Linked DNA regions of Danio rerio. Each later gene encodes a partner of the first gene's protein in a complex. Links are inferred from orthologs where the notes say so. Each region holds a gene or a part of one and is shown in the gene's direction. Other genes may lie near its edges.

Evidence for each region. Proteins that work in one complex are often made in the same cells at the same time.
Region 2: sf3a1 (region 1) and sf3b4 share a complex: the UniProt entries of both Homo sapiens proteins name them as parts of the 17S U2 SnRNP complex. The link is inferred for Danio rerio from reciprocal best matches to the Homo sapiens genes SF3A1 and SF3B4.

The regions. Positions count from the first base shown.
Region 1 is NC_133183.1:43,418,500-43,429,133, forward strand, and holds the start of sf3a1 (splicing factor 3A subunit 1), read left to right. Parts: upstream 1-5,344; 5' UTR 5,345-5,362; exon of another isoform or gene 5,363-5,366; intron 5,367-5,486; 5' UTR 5,487-5,529; coding exon 5,530-5,577; intron 5,578-6,959; coding exon 6,960-7,069; intron 7,070-7,161; coding exon 7,162-7,354; intron 7,355-7,515; coding exon 7,516-7,773; intron 7,774-8,475; coding exon 8,476-8,550; intron 8,551-9,246; coding exon 9,247-9,397; intron 9,398-9,697; coding exon 9,698-9,894; intron 9,895-10,023; coding exon 10,024-10,141; intron 10,142-10,634. UniProt on the Homo sapiens protein: Component of the 17S U2 SnRNP complex of the spliceosome, a large ribonucleoprotein complex that removes introns from transcribed pre-mRNAs.
Region 2 is NC_133194.1:8,475,922-8,486,469, forward strand, and holds the start of sf3b4 (splicing factor 3B subunit 4), read left to right. Parts: upstream 1-4,258; 5' UTR 4,259-4,286; coding exon 4,287-4,320; intron 4,321-4,660; coding exon 4,661-4,789; intron 4,790-6,470; coding exon 6,471-7,013; intron 7,014-9,831; coding exon 9,832-10,161; intron 10,162-10,443; coding exon 10,444-10,548. Other genes in the region: rab25a (ras-related protein Rab-25a), read right to left, coding at 1-130, 576-612. UniProt on the Homo sapiens protein: Component of the 17S U2 SnRNP complex of the spliceosome, a large ribonucleoprotein complex that removes introns from transcribed pre-mRNAs.

The DNA.
Region 1 (10,634 bases):
TGAACTGCATTTCCCACAATACCGCTTTTCTTTGCTACCGGAAGTTATTTCATTGGTTGGGAGACGAGCTGGATTGTGACTGGTGCGCTAATGGCGGAAGGTAGTGTGGATTCCGGAAGTGATCCGGAAATGGAGGAGGAGAGGGTAGACGGAGATAGTGGAGGTAATGCTAGTAATGAATGGAGCGTTGTAGAAAATCGTAAAAGAAAGAAAAGTTGGGCACAAATATCTGAATCGGACAGCGAAAAGGGAAGTCACCAGGCGAGAAGGAGAAGAGAAGAGTATAAGGTAATGCTGAAGTTTGCTAGCGACTCTGTGAATACCATCAATCCTTTGAAGCTTACAAAAACTCTTAAAGAAATGTTAGGAACGATTGAGAGTGTTAAGACCTTGAGAGACGGGAAAATGATTATATACTGTAAAGATCATAAGCAACAGAAGATGGCCTTGGCTATGAAGACATTATTAGGGCATAAAGTAATATGTTCTATCCCAGAAGAAAAAAAATGGATTAGAGGAGTAATAACAGGAATCCCTACTGATGTTACAGTTGAGAAAATAAAACGAAATATCACTGGGGCAGCAGTAAAAGAAGTCAAACGACTAAAATGCGTTAGAAATAACGAAAAAGTAGACAGTCTGTCTGTAATGATTCATTTTGATGAAAACAAACTACCGGAAAGAGTGTACTTAGGATATTTGAGCTACAACGTTAGGCTATATGTCCCCCCGCCAATACGCTGTTACAAATGCCAAAAGTTCGGACACGTAGCGGCAGTTTGTAGAGGTAAACAGAGATGTGCGAGATGTGGGGGAGACCATGAGTATGGTAAATGTGGGCAGGAAGTAAAGCCAAGGTGTTGTAATTGTGGTGGGGAACACAGTGCGGGCTACGGAGGATGTCAAGTTAGGAAAAATGCTGTACAAGTCCAAAATGTCCGAATGTCTGAGGGAATCTCGTATGCTGAAGCTCTAAAGAAAGTTAAACAGACATCAAGAGAACCAGAAACCAGAGTAACAGAATCTCAACAAAAAGCAACGATGAAAGAACAAAATAAAGATAATGAAGTATGTATTGACAAAGTATCGTTCGTCACATTTATAGCAGAAGTAGTTAATTGCTCTGCGCAGACGGAGAGCAGGACCGAGAGAATTAAAATTATCATCAGAGCTGCTTCAAAATATTTGGAATTAGAGGGTGTTACAGTAGATATGATAAACGATAGACTCAAGATACAATCAGGAACTAGTCAGACAGTATATAGTCAACCATGTGGAAGTATATAATGGTATTAACAATACTGCAGTGGAATGCAAGAAGCCTAATTGCAAACGGACAAGAATTTAAAAAATTCATAGTAGATCATGAAAATAGCCCTGACATCATATGTGTTCAGGAAACTTGGCTTAAGTCACATTTAGATTTTGTAATTAATGGATACACTTCGGTAAGAAAAGATAGAGACAAGTCTAATGGTGGTGGGGTAGCTACATTTATTAAACAGAGTATTGGGTATAGGGCAGTTGAGATCACTGGGGAACAAGAAGCTGTGGCAGTTGAAATATGCGATGGAACACAGAAAGTTAGAATAATAAACTATTATAATCCATGTGATAAATTAAGTAAGGACAATCTAGAACATATCCAAGGGAATGGAAATAATAAAATCGTGTGGTGCGGGGATTTTAATGCTCACAACACTTTATGGGGGAGTAAAAAAACAGATTACAATGGACTAATTATAGAAGATATGCTGGATTGGGGAGGATTAGTATGTATCAATGATGGAGGTTACACAAGAGTAGAGTTAATAAAAGGAAAATACTCAAATTTAGATTTAACACTAGTTTCTGAAAGCCTAGCTGGAAGATGTGATTGGAAAGTATTAAAGCAAAACACAATTGGTAGTGATCATTATCCAATTCTAAGTTCAATTGGAATACAGATAATTCGAACTGTGGTAGAAAGAATGCCAAGGTGGAAATTCAGAACAGCTGACTGGGAAAATTTTAAGGAATTATGTAATAATAGATTGTCGGAAATAGATAGATGTGAGGATGATGTGGAAGTTATTAATTCTAAACTTTGTGAAGTTCTTAAGAGCACTGCGGAAGAAGTAATAGGAAGAAAAAAAGCTAATGATAAGAAGAAAGCAGTTCCTTGGTGGAATGAAGAGTGCAGCGAAGTAGTAAGTAAAAGGAATAATGCATTAAAAAAAGTTAGAAAAACATTAAATTATAATGACTTTATAAATTATAAAAGAGCTCAGGCAATAGTGAGGAAAATAATTAGAAGGGCAAAAAAGAATTATTGGAGAGAGTACTGTGACAGTATTGGGGAGGATGTCAATGTATCTGACATATGGGGTATGATAAGGAAAATGGCAGGAAAACAAAGAAATAATAATATTCCTACATTGACAGAAAATAACAGATTAGTAATTTCTGATATGGAGAAAGCTGAAGTTCTAGCAAAAAATTTTGCCAGAATTCATAGTAACGCTAACCTATCTGAAGAAATTAGAAGAAATAGGGAACAGATCTTGATCAGGAATCCGTGGTTGTTGGAAAACAAAGGGCCATCTGAAAGTACATTAGATAGGGAATTTACATTATTTGAGTTAAAAAAAGCATTGGCAGAAAGTAAGAAAACCTCACCTGGAAAAGATGAAATTTGTAACGAAATGATTAAGCATTTATCAGATAATTCATTATGTATAATACTAAAATTATTTAATAAAGTATGGGAGTCAGGGATTTTACCAGCAGAGTGGAAACACGGTGTCATAATACCAATTGCAAAACCAGGTAAGGATCAGTCACAACCAAATAACTACAGACCCATAGCATTAACTTCTAATATATGTAAATTAATGGAACGCATGGTAATGAGCAGACTGGTTTATGCTATCGAAAAAGAAAACTTTTTTGCCGCATACCAAAGTGGTTTCAGGAAGGGACGTAATACAATGGATTCAGTGATTTGTTTGGAATCAGAAATAAGAAAGGCACAAGTAAATAAGGAAGTGTTGGTGGGAGTATTTTTCGATATTGAAAAAGCATACGACATGATGTGGAGAGAAGGACTTTTAATTAAATTAGAAAAAATGGAAATTAATGGAAAAATGTATAACTGGATCAAGAATTTTTTGTTAAAAAGAACAATACAAGTTAGAGTGGGTTCTGCATTCTCCCAAATATATAAGGTAGAGAACGGAACACCACAAGGGAGTGTTAGCAGCCCTATCCTATTTAATATCATGATAAATGACATCTTTTCAAAAATGGAGTTGGGGATCGGGAGATCTTTATATGCAGATGATGGTGCGCTATGGAAGAGGGGAAGAAATGTAGTTCATGTAGAAAGGTGTTTACAGAATGCAGTGAGGACAGTACAAGATTGGGCGGATGAGTGGGGGTTTAGATTTTCTACTGATAAAACTCAGGTTATTTGTTTTTCAAAAAAGAAAGTTAATCCAAATATAAATATTAATATATACAGACAAAAAATAGAACAGGTATCAGTAATTAGATATTTAGGAATGTGGATGGATGTAAAACTGAATTTTAATATGCATATTCAAAAAATAATAGATAAATGTAAAAAAGGAATTAATGTAATGAGGTGTCTGGCAGGAGCTGAATGGGGTGCATGTCGTTTCTCGCTTAAAAGAATCTATAATGCACTGGTAAGATCTACTATAGATTATGGATGCGTAGTATATAGTTCCGCAGCTAAAACTCAGTTGTTGAAAATAGATGCGATTCAATCTCAGGCACTAAGAATATGCTGTGGAGCACTAAGAACTACACCCATTATAGCATTACAAGTAGAGATGGGGGAAATGCCTCTAAAAATTAGAAGAATTAAGTTAAAAATGAGATATTGGGTTAGCATTAAAAGCCAAGAAGAGAGGCACCCAGTAAAAACAGTACTAAAGGAATGTTGGGAATATGGACATAAAAAGATAGATAGTTTTGGTTGGACAGTAAAAGACGAGGCTCAAAATATGGGCATAAGAGACATCAATTTAGCCCCTGCTGTGCCAACCTCTGCGATTCCGCCTTGGCTTTTCCATAAACCAGTAGTCGATTTATTACTACATGAGGAAAAACACAAAAATAATATGTTAAATGAAAAAGAAATACAACAATACATAAATCAGTCATATTTCAATTATTTACAGATATATACAGATGGGTCAAAAGATCCTAAAGATGAAAAAACGGCAGTAGTAGTTTACATCCCAAAATTCAATATTAAAATATCAAAAAGAATAACGGACCGACTTTCTGTGTACACTACAGAAATTGTAGCTATACTTCTTGCTCTTCAGTGGATAGAAGACGTGAAACCATTAAGATCAGTAATATGCTCCGATTCTCTGTCAGTACTAAACAACTTAATTACTGGAACATCTAAGGCAAGACAGGACATAATGAATGAGATAATGCAAAATTTATTCAGAATCAGACAGGGTGGACTTTTTGTAAGCTTCTTGTGGATTCCTGGTCATATGGGAGTAGTAGGTAATGAAGAGGCAGACCAACTTGCAAAGGAAGCATTACAACATACTCAGATAGAAATAAAAATAAAAATAAGTAAGTCAGAGGTAAAAAACATAATTGCAAAAGAAACAGGTAGAATGTGGCAAAGGGAGTGGGATAATGGAGAAAAAGGCAGACATATGCATAATATTCAAGGATGTGTGGGTGGTACTAGAAATAAGTTTAGTAATAGAAGGAATGATGTGGTAATAACTAGGTTGCGTGCTGGTCATTGTTTGCTAAACCAGTATAAGTTCAGAATAGGGAAGCACGAGACAGGATGTTGTGATAAATGCGGGAAAATAGAAACATTAGAACATGTAATTACAGAATGTGTGGCATATGACAATCAGAGATATCAGTTAGTTCAAGGATTAAGTATTTATGGGATTAAAAATTTGTCATTTCAGACCCTATTAGGAAACAGTTCAAATCAAGTTGAAATAATAATGCAATTAATTAATTACTTAAAGGAAACAAAATTGATTAATAGAATTTAAGAATAGCTTAGCAAAATAAGGAAATAAAATTTACTATGATTTTTAACTAGTATTTTTTTTCTTTCTTTCTCTCCTCTCCTCCTACTGTTATTACTGTTCTCTCTTCCCTATGGTAATCTCATCCCTCCATTCGTATCATATATCTTTAGTACTCATGCTTTTTCCAACATTATGCGCTCCACACTCCTATCCAGTAGGTGGCGGAAATGCACCATTTAAGTTGGTCTGCCAACCGCCATTAACCCCATAAGAAGAAGAAGAATTTCATTGGTTGTCCGTTTTGTGTTGTGTGTGTGGCTGCTGGCTAACGAGAGGTAAGTGAGTTATGTAAAACTGCCTTCATAATTTGTATAACTTTAGCCATTCTTGCGACTTTCAGTGTTCATTATTTTATAACGGTTGAGTCTTTAGCTTCAAATAATCTTTCATTTTACACAGTAACGTTTGAATCGGTCCGAGAAGAGCCAGTAGTGTCGCAGTCATGCCGCCTGGGCCTGTGCAGATCATGCAGCCGGAGCTGAATAACAAGGTATGAAGCTTTCAGAATTTATTACTTTCATAGACACGATGGGTAGGTTTATCCGATTTATATTCATCTGCTTACATTTTTCGTCTTTCATAAGTATAATACTGGGCATTATTGCAATTTTATAATTTATTGTTTTGAGTAGAAGCATTACTTGTTTAAAGTTAAACTTTAATGTATATGTTATCTGTTTTGTTATCTTTTGTAGCAGTCATTGTTGTATATATTCCCAGCATAATGTTGTTTTATTATTAGTATAAATATAATATAATATAAAAATATATATTATGTAAATGTACTGTTTTATTTCCCAAAATCGATGTGGTCAAAGACAACCATTTTAAAAGATAACGTAGTAGTGTCTACTTTATTGTTTAGAAAAAAAGGTTAATAAAAATTAAGATCTAAAAATATATATACTTTTGTAAAAAATGACAACAACAACAAAAGTAAACTTACATGTACTTATTAAAATAAGTAAATGATCCTTCTGCATTTTATTGTTTTTTCTTTAAGTAAAAATTTGGATAATAGATAGTTAAATTTGAAATATTTCATTTGCTTATTTTGGGGGCTGCAATGTGATCTTTAAATGTTTTTCTAATGTCATCAAAATATTCTTCAGATGTTAATTGAATAATTATTCTTATTTTTCTTTATAATGAAAAAAATATAAATACACAAATTACTTGTTAGTTTATAAATATACATATATTGTTTTGATTCTTAAATTAAAAATGAATATGCAAATTCTATATACAAATAATATTTAAAAATTAGGGGTGTTTGAATTGAATGTAAATTTATTGATATTTATTGTAAAAACTAATTAGTTTGTAATATAAATTTCAGTTTATTATCAGATTCTGTTTTATTGATGTTGTGAAATGAGAAAGGACAGTTGTGCAATTATAATAAAAAGTAATAATTTTAAGGACCATTTACAGTGAGAAGTGTATTCTGTTGTACAATAGAAACACTTTTGGCTGCAGTAAATCCAATTCGCTTGATTTTTTTCTGTTTATCTGATATGGTATTCTCACATAACATGGTAAAGTTTCTGAGATTGACACCACAAGCATCACCCATGCTTCAATATTTGTGTAGTAAATGAAACTGTGGCATTCATTCAGAAACACGCCTCATAAATATAGACTTTGTATTTAACTTATATTTTAGTGGTCTTAAAATTCTCACACAATAGTACACATCACAACTTCATTTTAAGGACATGATTAGTTTTAATGTATTAATTCAAAGCTTGTAACATTTAATGACATTGTATAATTAATTCCATATTTATGACTGTATTCTGTGATTTTTGTTTGTGTTTTCTGTATTATTTTGCTCATATTAAATAAGCTATGAGATGTTTTAATCAACAGCCCGAAGAACCGAAAGAAGAAACTCCAGCCACAAAGCCCATAGTGGGAATCATCTACCCTCCTCCTGAAGTGCGAAACATCGTTGACAAGACTGCCAGCTTCGTAGCCAGGTTTGACATCCTACCACATATATCATGTAGTGCAGTATTTCATTTGTGTACTTTTATTAAATCAATAATTAATTCCATTTATTTTGTCAAAGGAATGGACCCGAGTTTGAGGCCAGAATTCGACAGAATGAGATCAACAACCCAAAGTTCAACTTCCTCAACCCGAGCGACCCATACCATGCCTACTACCGACACAAGGTCAATGAGTTCAAGGAGGGCAAAGCTCAGGAACCATCCGCAGCCGTTCCTAAAGTCATGCAGCATCCTCAGCAGCTTCCTCAGAAGGTCAGCAACTTCTCTGTGGCTTTATATAAATATTATCAATATTATAGATGTAGACAGATAGTTTTATAATAGTTAAAATCAAGCCATAATCCAGCAGACAGATATAAAAAATTTTAATAGCTTTCTATGTTATAAAGAGCTTATGTTTTGTGATTATTTAGGTCCAAGCACAGGTGATCCATGAGACGGTGGTGCCAAAAGAGCCTCCACCTGAGTTTGAGTTCATTGCTGACCCTCCCTCCATCTCAGCCTTTGACCTGGATGTGGTGAAACTGACCGCACAGTTTGTTGCCCGTAATGGCCGTCAGTTTCTCACACAGCTGATGCAGAAGGAACAGAGGAACTACCAGTTTGACTTTCTCCGGCCACAGCACAGTCTGTTCAACTACTTCACAAAACTAGTGGAGCAGTATACAAAGGTAAATTATACTTTTTAGAAATGCTGAGGGCTTATTGGTTTGCAAAGAGATTAGAGATGTTCAGTATTTTTTCCTCTAATAATATTTTTGATTAATGTTTAAAAAAATGCAAGCTCAATAAATTAGCAAAAAAATTATTAAAACAATTATTCCATTTGTGAAAGCATTTAGAAGATACATTAGGGCTGGGGAAAAAATTGGTGATTTCCATGCACATTTTGTCAATAAAGCAATAAAAGTAAAGTAAGCTACATTCAGCTGGAGCAGCATTTGCCACACATAATTCACTATAAAGCTACACAAAACTTGCAACACTTGATGAATCTGTAGTTGTGTCTTTATTAATTAGTCTGAATTAGCGAAAGCAGTTAAAGTTTCCTTTTTAACACAATACTCTTTGGATTTCTTTTAGTTTCTGTAAGAGCAGCCTCTGGCATTTAGAGGAGATTTATTGCTGATCATGCTGTGCTTTTCTGACAATATGTGCATGACAAATGTAGCTTTGCTAAATGATGTTTGGGATTTACTTTAGATTAATTGACCAGTCCTAAGATATATTGTAGTTCGGTAATATCACACAAACAAATACTTTTTCCCTGAAAATCAATTGCAAATGTGAAACCCCCAAATGCAAAATACAGGTTACAAATACAGGTTATTCAAGTGTGACATTAAATAACTTGTTTGATTGGCTTTTTGCAGGTTTTGATTCCTCCAAAAGGTCTTCTGCTGAAACTGAAGAAAGAAGCAGAGAATCCTCGAGAGGTCTTGGACCAGGTAATCAAATATAGAAATGAACACCAAAATTTAAAATTTCAGGTCACACGGGGTGTGAATGAAAAAAAAAAAAAAAAACATAAGATATTGGTAGACAAAATCATATTTAGAGTTTTTTTGTGCCCTAAACATACTCTTTGAGCTTTGAATGATTGCAGTTTAACCAGTGAAGTTTCATGGATTTTTTTAACAATGTCTTTGATTCTTTTTTTTTGAACTTTTAATGTCTCACGAGTATTGCTGCCTATACATGACAATATCTAAATCTTACATTTATGATGAGATAAAATCTTTAAATATCAACTCTTTATGTTCTAAAGAACAAAAAAGGTTTCTGAGGATTGGAACAACATGAGCATAAGCAATTAATAATAGATTTTTAAAAATCTGGGTGAACTAACCTTTAGATAAAACGTTTTAGAAGACACATTTTACCAAAGCCATTTACATTTGATCAGATCTTGCTTTTCCTGAGGAAAAAACTCATGATATTGAACAGCATGCTCTGCTGTTATAGCAACAGGAAAATCTTGTAGCAAAACTGAAGGTCAATCAGACAGCAGAACTTAAATACTAAATATGATTGATATGTTTTAGGAAGTCTTTTGATTATGAAAATCACAAAAATATCCCTGTATGTGTAGTGATGAGATTGACCTTATTAGTATAATATCTCATTGTTCCCTTGTGTTGTAGGTGAGGTATCGTGTGGAATGGGCCAAATTCCAGGAACGAGAGAGGAAGAAGGAAGAGGAGGAGCGAGAGAAGGAGAGAGTGGCATATGCTCAGATTGACTGGCATGACTTTGTTGTGGTGGAGACAGTTGACTTTCAGCCTAATGAGCAAGGTAAGCATGTGTAACACAGGATATTTAAGGGGTTCGCACAAACATTCAATTGCACCAGAAGAAAGCTCTCAATTTGTACATTTTGTTATTAGATTTTTTTTATTAATATTACTGTCAATAATTGTATTAATAGGTTAGTATATTGATTAAAATATTAGTAATTTTGTTAATGCTATTTTTATGATTTTAGTTTCAGCAATAATATATCATTAATGTGTTTAATAGTGTTTTTGTCTTGCCTAAATACTACTTTTATATGTACAGTGCAAATTATTAATTATTACTCTTATACATTTACAGGTAATTTCCCTCCTCCAACAACTCCTGAGGAGCTGGGTGCTCGTATCCTCATCCAGGAGCGCTATGAGAAGTTTGGAGAGAGTGAGGAGGTAGAGATGGAGGTGGAGAGTGAAGATGAAGATGATGAGAGGGAGGGCAGAGAAGATGGACATGCAGCTCAGCCTGACCAGGACACACAGCTGCAGGACATGGATGAGGTGAGACACAAGGCTGCACAAGGGCTCATTCCATGTATCATGTTTATGCATCAGCATAGATGAGCAGTTTGTGGAAGTAGGATCTACATTTTTCTGACTGACTAGCACTTGTTCTTTGTTTCTCAATAGGGCTCTGATGAGGATGATGATGGCATGAAAGCTCCTCTGCCCCCTGATAACCCCCTGCCACCGCCTCTGCCCCCCACCCCAGACCAGGTTATCATTCGCAAAGACTACGACCCCAAGGGTGAGATTCCCACTACATTTATTAAAAAGCATACAAAAAGGACATATATCATTTGCTTCATTCATTCAGAAAATTGTTTTATTATTGGTTTATTATCAGTTAATTCTTGAAAACGCTTGAATTTTAATCTAGTGTTTAAGTTTGAAAAGTGCTTTGATTTTTAAATAAAGCGCTTTAAACTGCTTGAAAAGGCATTACAAGGAAAGTTTATTTATATAGCACATTTCATAGACAATGGTAATTGAAAGTGCTTTACATAAACAAAAATAAAATAAACAAGTATAAGAAAACAAAGAACAAAAGAATTGTTGTTGTCTGCGCCATTAGCCTAGTGGTTAAGTGTGTCGACATATAGCAACAAAGTGCTTACGATGACCTGAGCTCAATTCCCGGCTCAAGGTCCTTTACCGATCCTTCCATTTTCTCTCTGCTTCACACAATTTCCTGTAAATATTTTCCACTGTCCTATCAATCAAAGGTTAAAAACCCCTGA
Region 2 (10,548 bases), on another chromosome or scaffold:
CTGTCCACCTGAACAGAGCGAGTGCTGAACTCCACGCCAATAGTGGTGCGACTGTCATGGTTGAACTCGTTTTTGGTAAACCTTGACAGCAGGTTGCTCTTTCCAACCCCTGATTCTCCAATTAAAACCACTGAAAGACAACCAAGACAGCATTTAACTTACTTTGAATGATGCGTAGTTAAAGGAAAATACAATTTCCACACTTCACTAGTTGCAAACCTGTTTGACATTCTTTCTTCTGTTGAACACAAAAGAAGATATTTAGAAAAATGCTGGAAACCTGTTTCCATTGACTTCCATTGTATTTGTTTTCCTACTATGAAAGTCAATGGTTACAGATTTTTAACTTTCCTCAAAATATCTTCATATCTATTCTGGAACCGCTTGAAGGTGAATAAATAGTGAGTAAATATTAATTTTTGGGTGAACTACCCCTTTCAATTTCTGACACAATTGGAAATACATGAAAATACAAAATAACAAATATCTTTTATATATTAGATTAGCATGCTAGGCATCAGACGCAGCAATCACAGTAAAAGCATTTAATCTTCAATCAGCTGACTGAAACTTACCTTTGAAGACAAAGTTGTAGGCTAAATCTGTCCCCATGTTGTCTCTAGCTGTAATGTGTCAGTCTGTGTTTAGTGCATACGTGTTACTCGAGCTCAGAATCCACTGGGAGGAGAAAAGCAGATGCTCAGGTTTCTCCGACAGCTTTATTGATCCATTCTTGCAGGTCTAAATGCAGATTCAGCCAGACTCTTCTTTGAGACAGTTTGGGTGGGAAAGCAGGTGAAACTGGTAGAACCACTGACACACACACACACACACACACACAATGGGAGTGACTTCATTCTCTCACACACACTACTGTTAAATCACCGTTCCTTCACTCCGACTGCGTGTATGTATCCAGTTCTGTATGCGCAAAAACAAATATCAGAAGAGCTGAGTCAGAAAAACAAGCCGTCCTGCATCAACATGTATCTTTATAGGCAACAGGTTGAGTTTCTGTAAACATAAAATAAAAGGGGTTTTGATTAGTTTGACGTAATCAAAACAAAAGCTTTGAATTTAGCTCATTTTAATGCAAATTTACCTGTTTAGCCCAGTGTTTGGCTCATGTTTAGGCTTGTGAATCACACCTCTGCTGTTCATGCATCTTTTTTCACAATAACCATTGTGTATATTGTTTGGTACAGACAGCCAGGGGTGTGAAATATGTGTGTAATCTTATTAAATGAATGTTCATTCATTCATTTTCCTTCAGCTTTCCTTCAGCTTTCCTTCAAGATCGACACAGTGGAGTGAACCGCCAACTATTTTAGCATATGTTTTATGCAGCGGATGCACTTACAGCGTTGCAACCAGGGTGCGAATTACAGGGGGTTTCGCGGGAGAACTGACCCCCCTAAATAATGCTTTATCCCACCTGAAGCACATCAAAACAGCGTGTATGGGGGTCAGTCCTCTAAAAAGAGAGAAATAGAGGTTACTCTGATTTGTTTCTTAAAAGATAATATAAAAACTGATAATAATAGGGGCGTCACAGTGGCACAGTAGGTAGCACCATCGCCTTACAACAAGAAGGTTGCTGGTTCAAGCCCCGGCTGGGTCAGTTGGCATTTCTGTGTGGAGTTTGCGTGTTCTCCCTGTGTTCGCATGGGTTTCCTCCGTGTTCTCCGATTTCCCCCACAGTCCAAAGACATGTGCTATATAGGTGAATTGGGTATAGACCATAGATAAATTGTCCATAGTGTGTGTGAATGAGTGTGTATGGGTGTTCCCCAGTGATGCAGCTGGAAGGGCATCTGTTGTGTAAAACATATGCTATAAGTAGGCCCACACAGAATCTGCGCACACAGAATTCTGCAGATTTTCCGCAGAATTCTGCAGATTTCTGCAGATTTTTAGCCCATCATTAATTCTGTTTATTTACTTGAGTAAGTGTGTATATCTGAATTTATTCAGTTTTTATTCAGTAATTTATTTCTTTTTATTTAATACATTAAGGTCTTAGTTATGATACTCTGCTGGATACTCCCAAAATAATTCCGCAGAAAACCACAGATTTTTACCAAAATTCTCAGCAGAAATAGCAAAAAACGTCCGCAGATTCCGTCTGGCCCTGGCTATAAGTTGGCGGTTTATTCTGCTGTAGCAACTTCTGATTAATAAATGGACTGAAAATAAAATAAAATGAATGAAAAAAATAGATTATATATACATTTGACCACCCCTATATTTATTCATATCATTGTGAATGCACAATCAGTCTATGTGAGAAACAAATTATTTATCAGTCTGAAACCATCAGATCAAAGCACCGATAGACAACCAAAGTGTTCGTAAGACACTTTTCTTGTAAAACAGCAGTTTGTTTCTACATATAACCTGAAAGTGAACTCAAATTAGATGCATAGTTTTTATAGTTTGACCTACAGTAAACTCTGGAATAGCTAATCAGAGGATATCGTAGGTCAGAATACACTAAATATCGCACAAAACACTGGAAACTTAAATATGTTTATTAATAAATCAGATTAATTAAACTAGCTCAAATAAATACATTCATGTGATTCACTAAAGCATGTATTACACAAACTAACGTTAACATACCAAAAAGGTTACCCTCCTGTTGGTGAATGTATAATTTGCACCTTGGGCACAACCCAGTACTGGAAAACACCCATACACTCTATCATTCACACACACATTCATACACAGGGCCAATTTAGTTTATTTAATTCACCTATAGCACATGTCTTTGGACTGTGGGAGAAACCGGAGCACCTAGAGGAAACCAACTTGCGGAGAACATGCAAACTCTATGCAACAGCACTAACCACTAAGCCACCATGCCACCTTAAATTAATGTACTTTAGTTTAATTTTTGGGAAACGTTTTTAAATGACAAAAATGTAATTTATATTGAGTGCTTGTGCTTGATTTGAAGAAAACCATTAATTTTATAATGCCTATCATTTTATTTCACTTTGAAAAGTAATTGCTTCACTGTTGTTTTTTCCTCCATCTTACACACAATGGGGTATATGCACACAAACTTTTAATTTCAGTCAGTCAGCCCCATTGCTTCCGGTTAATTGTCATCCCAAACTAAATTGCAGCGTTTAAGATCTGATTTCTTTAAATAACAGCAATCTTCACTGCCTGGCTGAGATGCGATATATAGTGGGTATCAGACCTAGCATAAAAACACTGCATTAATTTATAGACTATTTTTCCACACCATGTCATTAAAATATGGAAATTAATTTTTCCTCAGTATTTTTTTTAAAGTTTTTGCGCTTACTCGCTGCTAATGACGGCGCCTGCATTTAAACGGTTTTTATGCTTTACCAACCAAATATTTAACTGAATGTATTGTAATTATATTACAACATCGATGCTGTAAAAGAAACCTTATGAAATTAAAGCTTTTATAAAGCTTTCGCTAGAAGTTTATCATTGGCTAAAAAAAACTAGCTGTGCATATAGCTTATTGATAAATTTAAAAGTTTGTATGTTAACAGCACACATTTCAGCGTATGTTATTACTTATCTAAAAGAAACTTCTTTCATCATCAAATCTAAAAGTATACTGAGGTAACTTAGCTCACCCAAAATTTATTTTTAATACATTCTTATAAAGTCTATCCACTTGTGTGCCATTTTAAGTCTTATTTGTTTTTAACCATTAATTAAAAACTTTAATTTGTACTTTTTTACCTCACTTTTTTACTTTGTTAGTACACTGTAAAAAATTCCACACAATTTGTTCATTGTCTCAACAAATTTAATTGGTTTAAACATAAAACAATTAAGTTGCCCCCACAAATCACAAGAATTGTGTTGCTTCAGCTTGAACAAGCAGTTTGTGTATTTCTACTTCCACTTAAGTATGGTAGGTCATTTGAGTACTTTATACAGCTCGTGATAATATTAACTTGCATATTTAATTAATTGTTACTTATGTGATAAAAACCATGCGGTAGCCTACTGTTTGTTTCGTCGCCACAGATCTGTCCATTAGACAGTCTGACTGGGTCCTGGCTTAGCACAGCTGTGGCTCCATTTTATGACCTTTAACAACATAAAAGACATATTAAGTAACTTCCGAACAAAAACAGACAAAGGACGTAGTAAATCATAATTTGACATCCACAAAATCGGCAATGTTCATCTTCCTCTCCTGTGGGCGGCAGCACTGCGATGACAAGACGATGTTGAGGTGATTTCAGCAAAAAGAACTGCTTCCGTCTGTACACACGCCGGGGTTCATCATGGCGGCGGGACCGATTTCAGAACGAAATCAAGGTATATTTGATAAATTTAACTTTTTAGTGAAATTGTTATGTAGTGTTCGGGGTAAGTGATGGATTGCAGCATTATTGAACACCTTAAGTTCTTCCTATGTTCTATGATACAGTCAAATCGCTCATTTTCATTCATTCAAACATGTTGGCTTAACAAATAAAAACAAAGAAACGTTTGAGTTTTGGTTTTAATGAAGTGTAACAAAACAATCATGCATATTTCAATATGCTTATTATTATCGGAATTAATAAATTGTATATAAATAATGCATCTAACGTTAAATAAAATACTATGTTTGTGTTCAGTGTTGTCATTTATATTGATCATCTTTTATCTGCAGATGCCACTGTATATGTGGGTGGTCTCGATGAGAAGGTCTCTGAGCCTCTTTTGTGGGAGCTTTTCCTTCAAGCTGGTCCTGTTGTAAACACACACATGCCCAAAGACAGAGTAACAGGACAACACCAGGGTGAGTTACCACGTCTTTAAATCCATTGGGGTAAAGTTGCTTTTATACTCCCTCATTCGGTCTTTCCTCTTAATATAATTTAGCAAAAGTATTCTTTGCAAATTATAAGAAGGAAAATGACATTAGCAGTCAAAGACTATCAAAGTTCAATATTGTTCACAGACAATGAAATAGTTGCATTATATTTTAGACCATATATTCAAAGTAGCGTGGTAAACAATACAGGAACTGTGTTCCTAACAAGTTTGCATAATACCAGCCAGTGGCTGCTAAATATCTAGTTTTGCTCAATCTTACGTTTGTTTGTGTTGTTGACATTGTTGAACAAAACCCCAGTTATAAGTACTGATTTTGTTTTTATTTGTACTTTTTATTATTTATTGTATAATTTTTTTTTACCCAAATCTTGTGTTTGTTTGTTACAACTGCAATTCTGCACACTTACTTTTGCATTCATAGGCTGCAGACTTGGAAGTCCACAAAAACTGATTGAGGTATAATTGGTTTTATATTTGCACATTCTGACTTTCTCCTTAACTATATAATTTCAGAAAAATATTATATTTAAATTCTAAACAGTGAAACCATATTAGCAGCCGATGACTACAACACTGTTCACAGACAATTAAATAGTGTAATGTTGTTTGTAGTGTAATACTTGCATGCAAATTTAGACTGAATATTGAAAGTAGTGTGGTAAACTATATAGTAACCGTTAAAATGAATAAATTTGCGAATGTAAAACCTTCTTTACCTCAATCAAAAACTGCCTGTGTGTTATCAAATCTATCCTACAGAGAATTGATATTGATTTTTATCTTATTATATTTCACAACAAGGGACGGTGTACATTAAATTTAACTTATTTTTTGTTTTTAAGACTGTAAAGCACTTTGAGCAGCCTTCTGATTGTAAAAATGTGCTATATAAATAATTTGATTGATTGATTGATAAATCAACATTGCCTAATATTGTAAATGTAGTCAAATTAGTACTCAATACTCAAATCATATTTGAGTAATTCTTATGTATTGTATTAAGAAATTAAAGTGTATTTTAACATTGAATGCATGTCAGGGTTCAACGGCAAGGATTTTGTCTACTGGGCCGATCGGGCCAGTGGTTGAGATTTTCACTGCCCCCACCAAAAACAACAAAAAGTTAATAGTTATGTCTTAGCCACATATTTTAAATAATAATAGAATTTAAACATTTCAAAAATGGTAATAAATGTATAATGAGCAAAATTCAAGATTTTATGCCAACGAAAGAGCAGTATGGAAAAAAAAGCTGGTATTTTATTGCAACTCTAAATTATTTTTATAAAAATGGCTTGCCAAACTGACAACCTTTTTTTTTTCTCTCTCCAGTTTCTTAATTTTGTACACATGTATTGTCTGCTTCCAATACTTTAGAAACAGACATTTTCTTTTAGCCTCATCGTTTGATGTTGCTGCCATTTTGCCATGTTTTCGATGTACTTGTTGTGACCAGGTTACGAAAAAAATAACGTGCGATAGGGGCCAGTAACAATCCTGTCTACTGTCCCGAGCGCCTTTCAAGCTGGCCCCGGGCCACCGGGCAGTCCTTATTGTTGAGCCCTGCATGTAAAACAAAATTAGGAACTTTTAACAACCTAATAGGATCACTTCAAAAACTGGTATCGCTCTCTCTTCTTCAGGTTATGGCTTTGTGGAGTTTCTCAGCGAAGAAGATGCGGACTACGCCATAAAAATAATGAATATGATCAAACTTTACGGCAAGCCCATACGAGTCAACAAAGCTTCAGCGCACAACAAGAACCTCGACGTTGGTGCCAACATCTTCATTGGCAACTTGGACCCTGAGATCGACGAGAAATTACTTTATGACACATTCAGCGCTTTCGGTGTGATCCTTCAGACCCCCAAGATCATGCGAGACCCCGATACGGGCAACTCGAAGGGTTACGCCTTCATCAACTTTGCCAGTTTTGATGCGTCAGATGCGGCTATCGAGGCTATGAATGGCCAGTATCTGTGTAATCGGCCCATCACTGTTTCATACGCGTTTAAGAAAGACTCAAAGGGTGAAAGACATGGGTCAGCAGCCGAGCGTCTCCTTGCCGCACAGAATCCACTGTCCCAGGCCGATCGCCCACATCAGCTTTTCGCAGATGCTCCACCTCCTCCAAGCATGCCCACGCCTGTCATGACTGCCCTCGGAGCAGCCATGCCTATTCCAGGTTAGAGATGAGAAACATCTTAATGACATGTTGCAAATGTTTTTCACATTTCCAGGTTCAAAGTCGTCAGAGTTGGATAAATTTAGAGTGAAGTGAATGGGAGAGTACAACAAATATTTTTTATTCACAATCCTGTTTGCTGAAATAGTAAAAGAAAAACTTCACTATGGTGTTATCAAGACTTTCAAGAAAGAAAAGAAAATAATGTGAGACTGATAACGACAGACAGAAAATAGAACAACATCAAATTTACTGTCCTGCCCTATAGACGCTGCATTTCAAATGCCACACATAGGTGGTAATTTAATGCAAAGATGATGTAGCACATACATAAATACATAAAAATGTTAATAGTTTTTAAATAATCTATTAAAAATATATAAAAAGATTTAAGATAGGGCTGTATGATATTGGAAAAATGTAATGTAACCCACAGTTCCTACTGCACCTATTCCATTCTGAGCTGGGATCAAACTGGCGATTCTTTGTAATGGAAGCCGGTTGCTCTACCAGGGAGGCTAAAGACCATGGCCTCTAGCTTCTGTGTCTAGAATACCTTTTGAGGTCAGAGGAGTGACGTTTACCTGCGTAGCCCTTTGCTATCTGGCCTCCGTTACACTCACCCTCCTAAACCTCACTGCTCACTCCCATTCCAGACGAGCCCTCAAGTGTAACCCACCGGTTCCTCTGCACCCAACCCGGTCTGAGCTGTGACTGGCAATTTGTTGTATGGGAGTCGATTGCTCTAACAAGGAGGCTAAAGACCATGGCCTCTAGCGTTTGTCGTTAGAGCACCTTTTGAGGTTAGAGAAGTGAGGTTTACCTGCTTAGTACTTCGCTAGCTGGCCTCTGTTACACTCACCCCCCTAAGCCTCAGTCTCATCCTGGACGAGCCCCCAAGTGTAATCCACCAGTTCTACTGCACCCGACCTGGTCTGAGCTGGGATCGAAACGGTGATTCTTAGTATGGGAATTGGTTGCTTCAACAGGAAGTCTAAAGACCATGGCCTCTAGCGTCTTTCACTAGAGCACCTTTAGAAGACAGAGGAGGGAGAGGTTTACCTGCTTAGCACTTAGCTAGCTGGCCTCTGTTACAGTAACGTTGTGATATTTTGTTAAAATACAACTAGTAATCTACAAGCAAAGATCAATACTATAAGATGTAAATAAAATTGAATGGTTTTCTGATGAGTCTAACGGTATTTAAGTAGTAGTTGAATAATCAAATGTTAAATACTGTGTGTCTTTGTTTTATAAATAATCCTATAAAAAAGAAAGTTAGAAACAGTACAGTTTCTCAGGTCTGAATATATTTAATACCCTCAGTCACAGGCCTCAAAAACACACATAAGTCATAATTTATTATCCAGACTGTACATTGAGGGTCCTGCAATTTGACTATTGTATATGAGCACATTGCGATATCTATGCTGAAATGATATACAGCTTTAATTTAAGATGCTGATGATCGTTAAACGCGCCATAACAGTTCTTGTGAAAAGGGTCCATTGCACATCCCTACGTTATAAAAAACCTTTCTTTAATTTGGTTAAAGAGGTTTAAACTTTACTTTCACGTTCAAAGACATCAGCCAGGGTTCCTACACTTTTTGAAAGTACTTCGATTTTAGACATACGGATTTAAGGCTTGTAGAGTACTCAAAAACAAATCAGGTCCTTAATAGTGCTTGATTTAAATTTGAAATGAAGTTAGTTTAAGGTGTTATTGTAGCAATTGTACTGTCCTGCTGACAAAAACAGAACTAAAATGGAAAATTCTTTATATAAAAATATTACATTTACATCTTGTACAAAAACGATGACAAATAATGCACATTTCATGAAAGAGAGGAAACCCTGATCAATAAATGCTGGCATTTTAATTATCACTGAGAGAATTTCTGCAGGTCTTTAAAAGTCATTCACCCTTTTACAGTTTCTTAAATCAGAGCAGATAAAAATCATAAAACATGGGTGCAAACTTGTCACTTTTCAGTCACGTGACCAGTATTTTGACACAATGTGTTCTTTTAAAAAATAAATCTTTACTTGGTCATAAAGTCATAAATGTACCTTAATAAAAGCCCTAATAAAATAAGATTTGTTTTATGAAATGGGTCATGGTTATTTAAAACAAGTTAAATATCAAATCCTTTCTATTTAACTTGAGGTGTATTAAAATGTGTCATTTCACTTCAATATTTAATATTTATATTTTTTATTTTACATAAATATTTAATGTTTTCTACAAAAACTCTTAAAAAAAATACCCCCGTCACATTTTGATGAAATAAAACACAAACAGGTATTGACCTTATTCTTAGCCGACGAGCAGGCGCTGCCATTTGAATCTTTTTGGCACGAGACTTCCGGTCTCATTCACTTACATTCATTTTTAGACATTAAAAACTGCTCGTTTCGCTGTTTGATGTTGCAAACTGATATTTCTCTGTTATATTATTCTACTTGGTCTGTATAGTCATGCAAACATTTGTTTGTAGAGCAAGTAGTTTGACCATTTTCTGCCGTTTATTATTCCTAGTCATTTCTCCCATAGGCGACTGAAATGGAAGTTCTAAGACAATCGCGAAAACAGGCGCACTTCCGCAATTTAGAATGTCAATACAGTAGTAGAAAACATCAGTTATTTTAATTTAAAGTCTCTAGTCATAATTCTAACCTAGGATTAGGTGTAAAATAATGTCATAAGTCTGTAAAACTTTATAGCCTAAAAGAAAATAGAAATGTTTTTCTGGTGATTCAAGTTACCATACTGTTATTTTTTTTCTGCATCAACTCTTTGCATGTTAATCTTGCAGGAATGCCTCCTCCCGGTGCTTTCCCACCTGTTCCTCCTCCTGGCACAATGCCACCTGGGATGCCTCCCGGTATGCCCATGCCTCCAGCACCAGGTACTCCTGCGCCACAGGGCGGTGGAGGACCCCCACCGGGACACCCGCCCTTCCCTCCTGCTGGAATGCATCCGCCAGGAATGCCGCATATGCCGATGCCTCCAACGGGACCTCCAGGAATGGTGCCTCCCCCACCTGGCCCACCAGGATCTAACCAACCAAGAGCACCGCCTCCACCACAAATGCCTCCTCCACCCATGGGTGTCCCTCCCAGAGGACCCTTTGGACCCCCAATGGGTATGTATGTGTGTGTGTGTGAAGGAGACTGACTTGTTGTGTTAGTATGTATTGAAATCATGAAATAATATTAAATTATAAATTATAAATCATAGTATTATGAATATATCAGTATTTTATATGATCATTATCACAATATAATGATGGTTTATATATATATATATATATATATATATATATATATATATATATATATATATATATATATATATATAAAACGTGTATGTGTGTGTGTTTTTATTTATGCAATGATTTATACAAATCTTCATCTACTTTTAACAGGTCCACCAATGCATCCGGGTATGAGGGGTCCTCCTCCACCAATGCCGCCTCCAGGTTATGGTGCGGGACCACCCAGACCCCCACCCTTTGGTTTTCAGAGAGGGC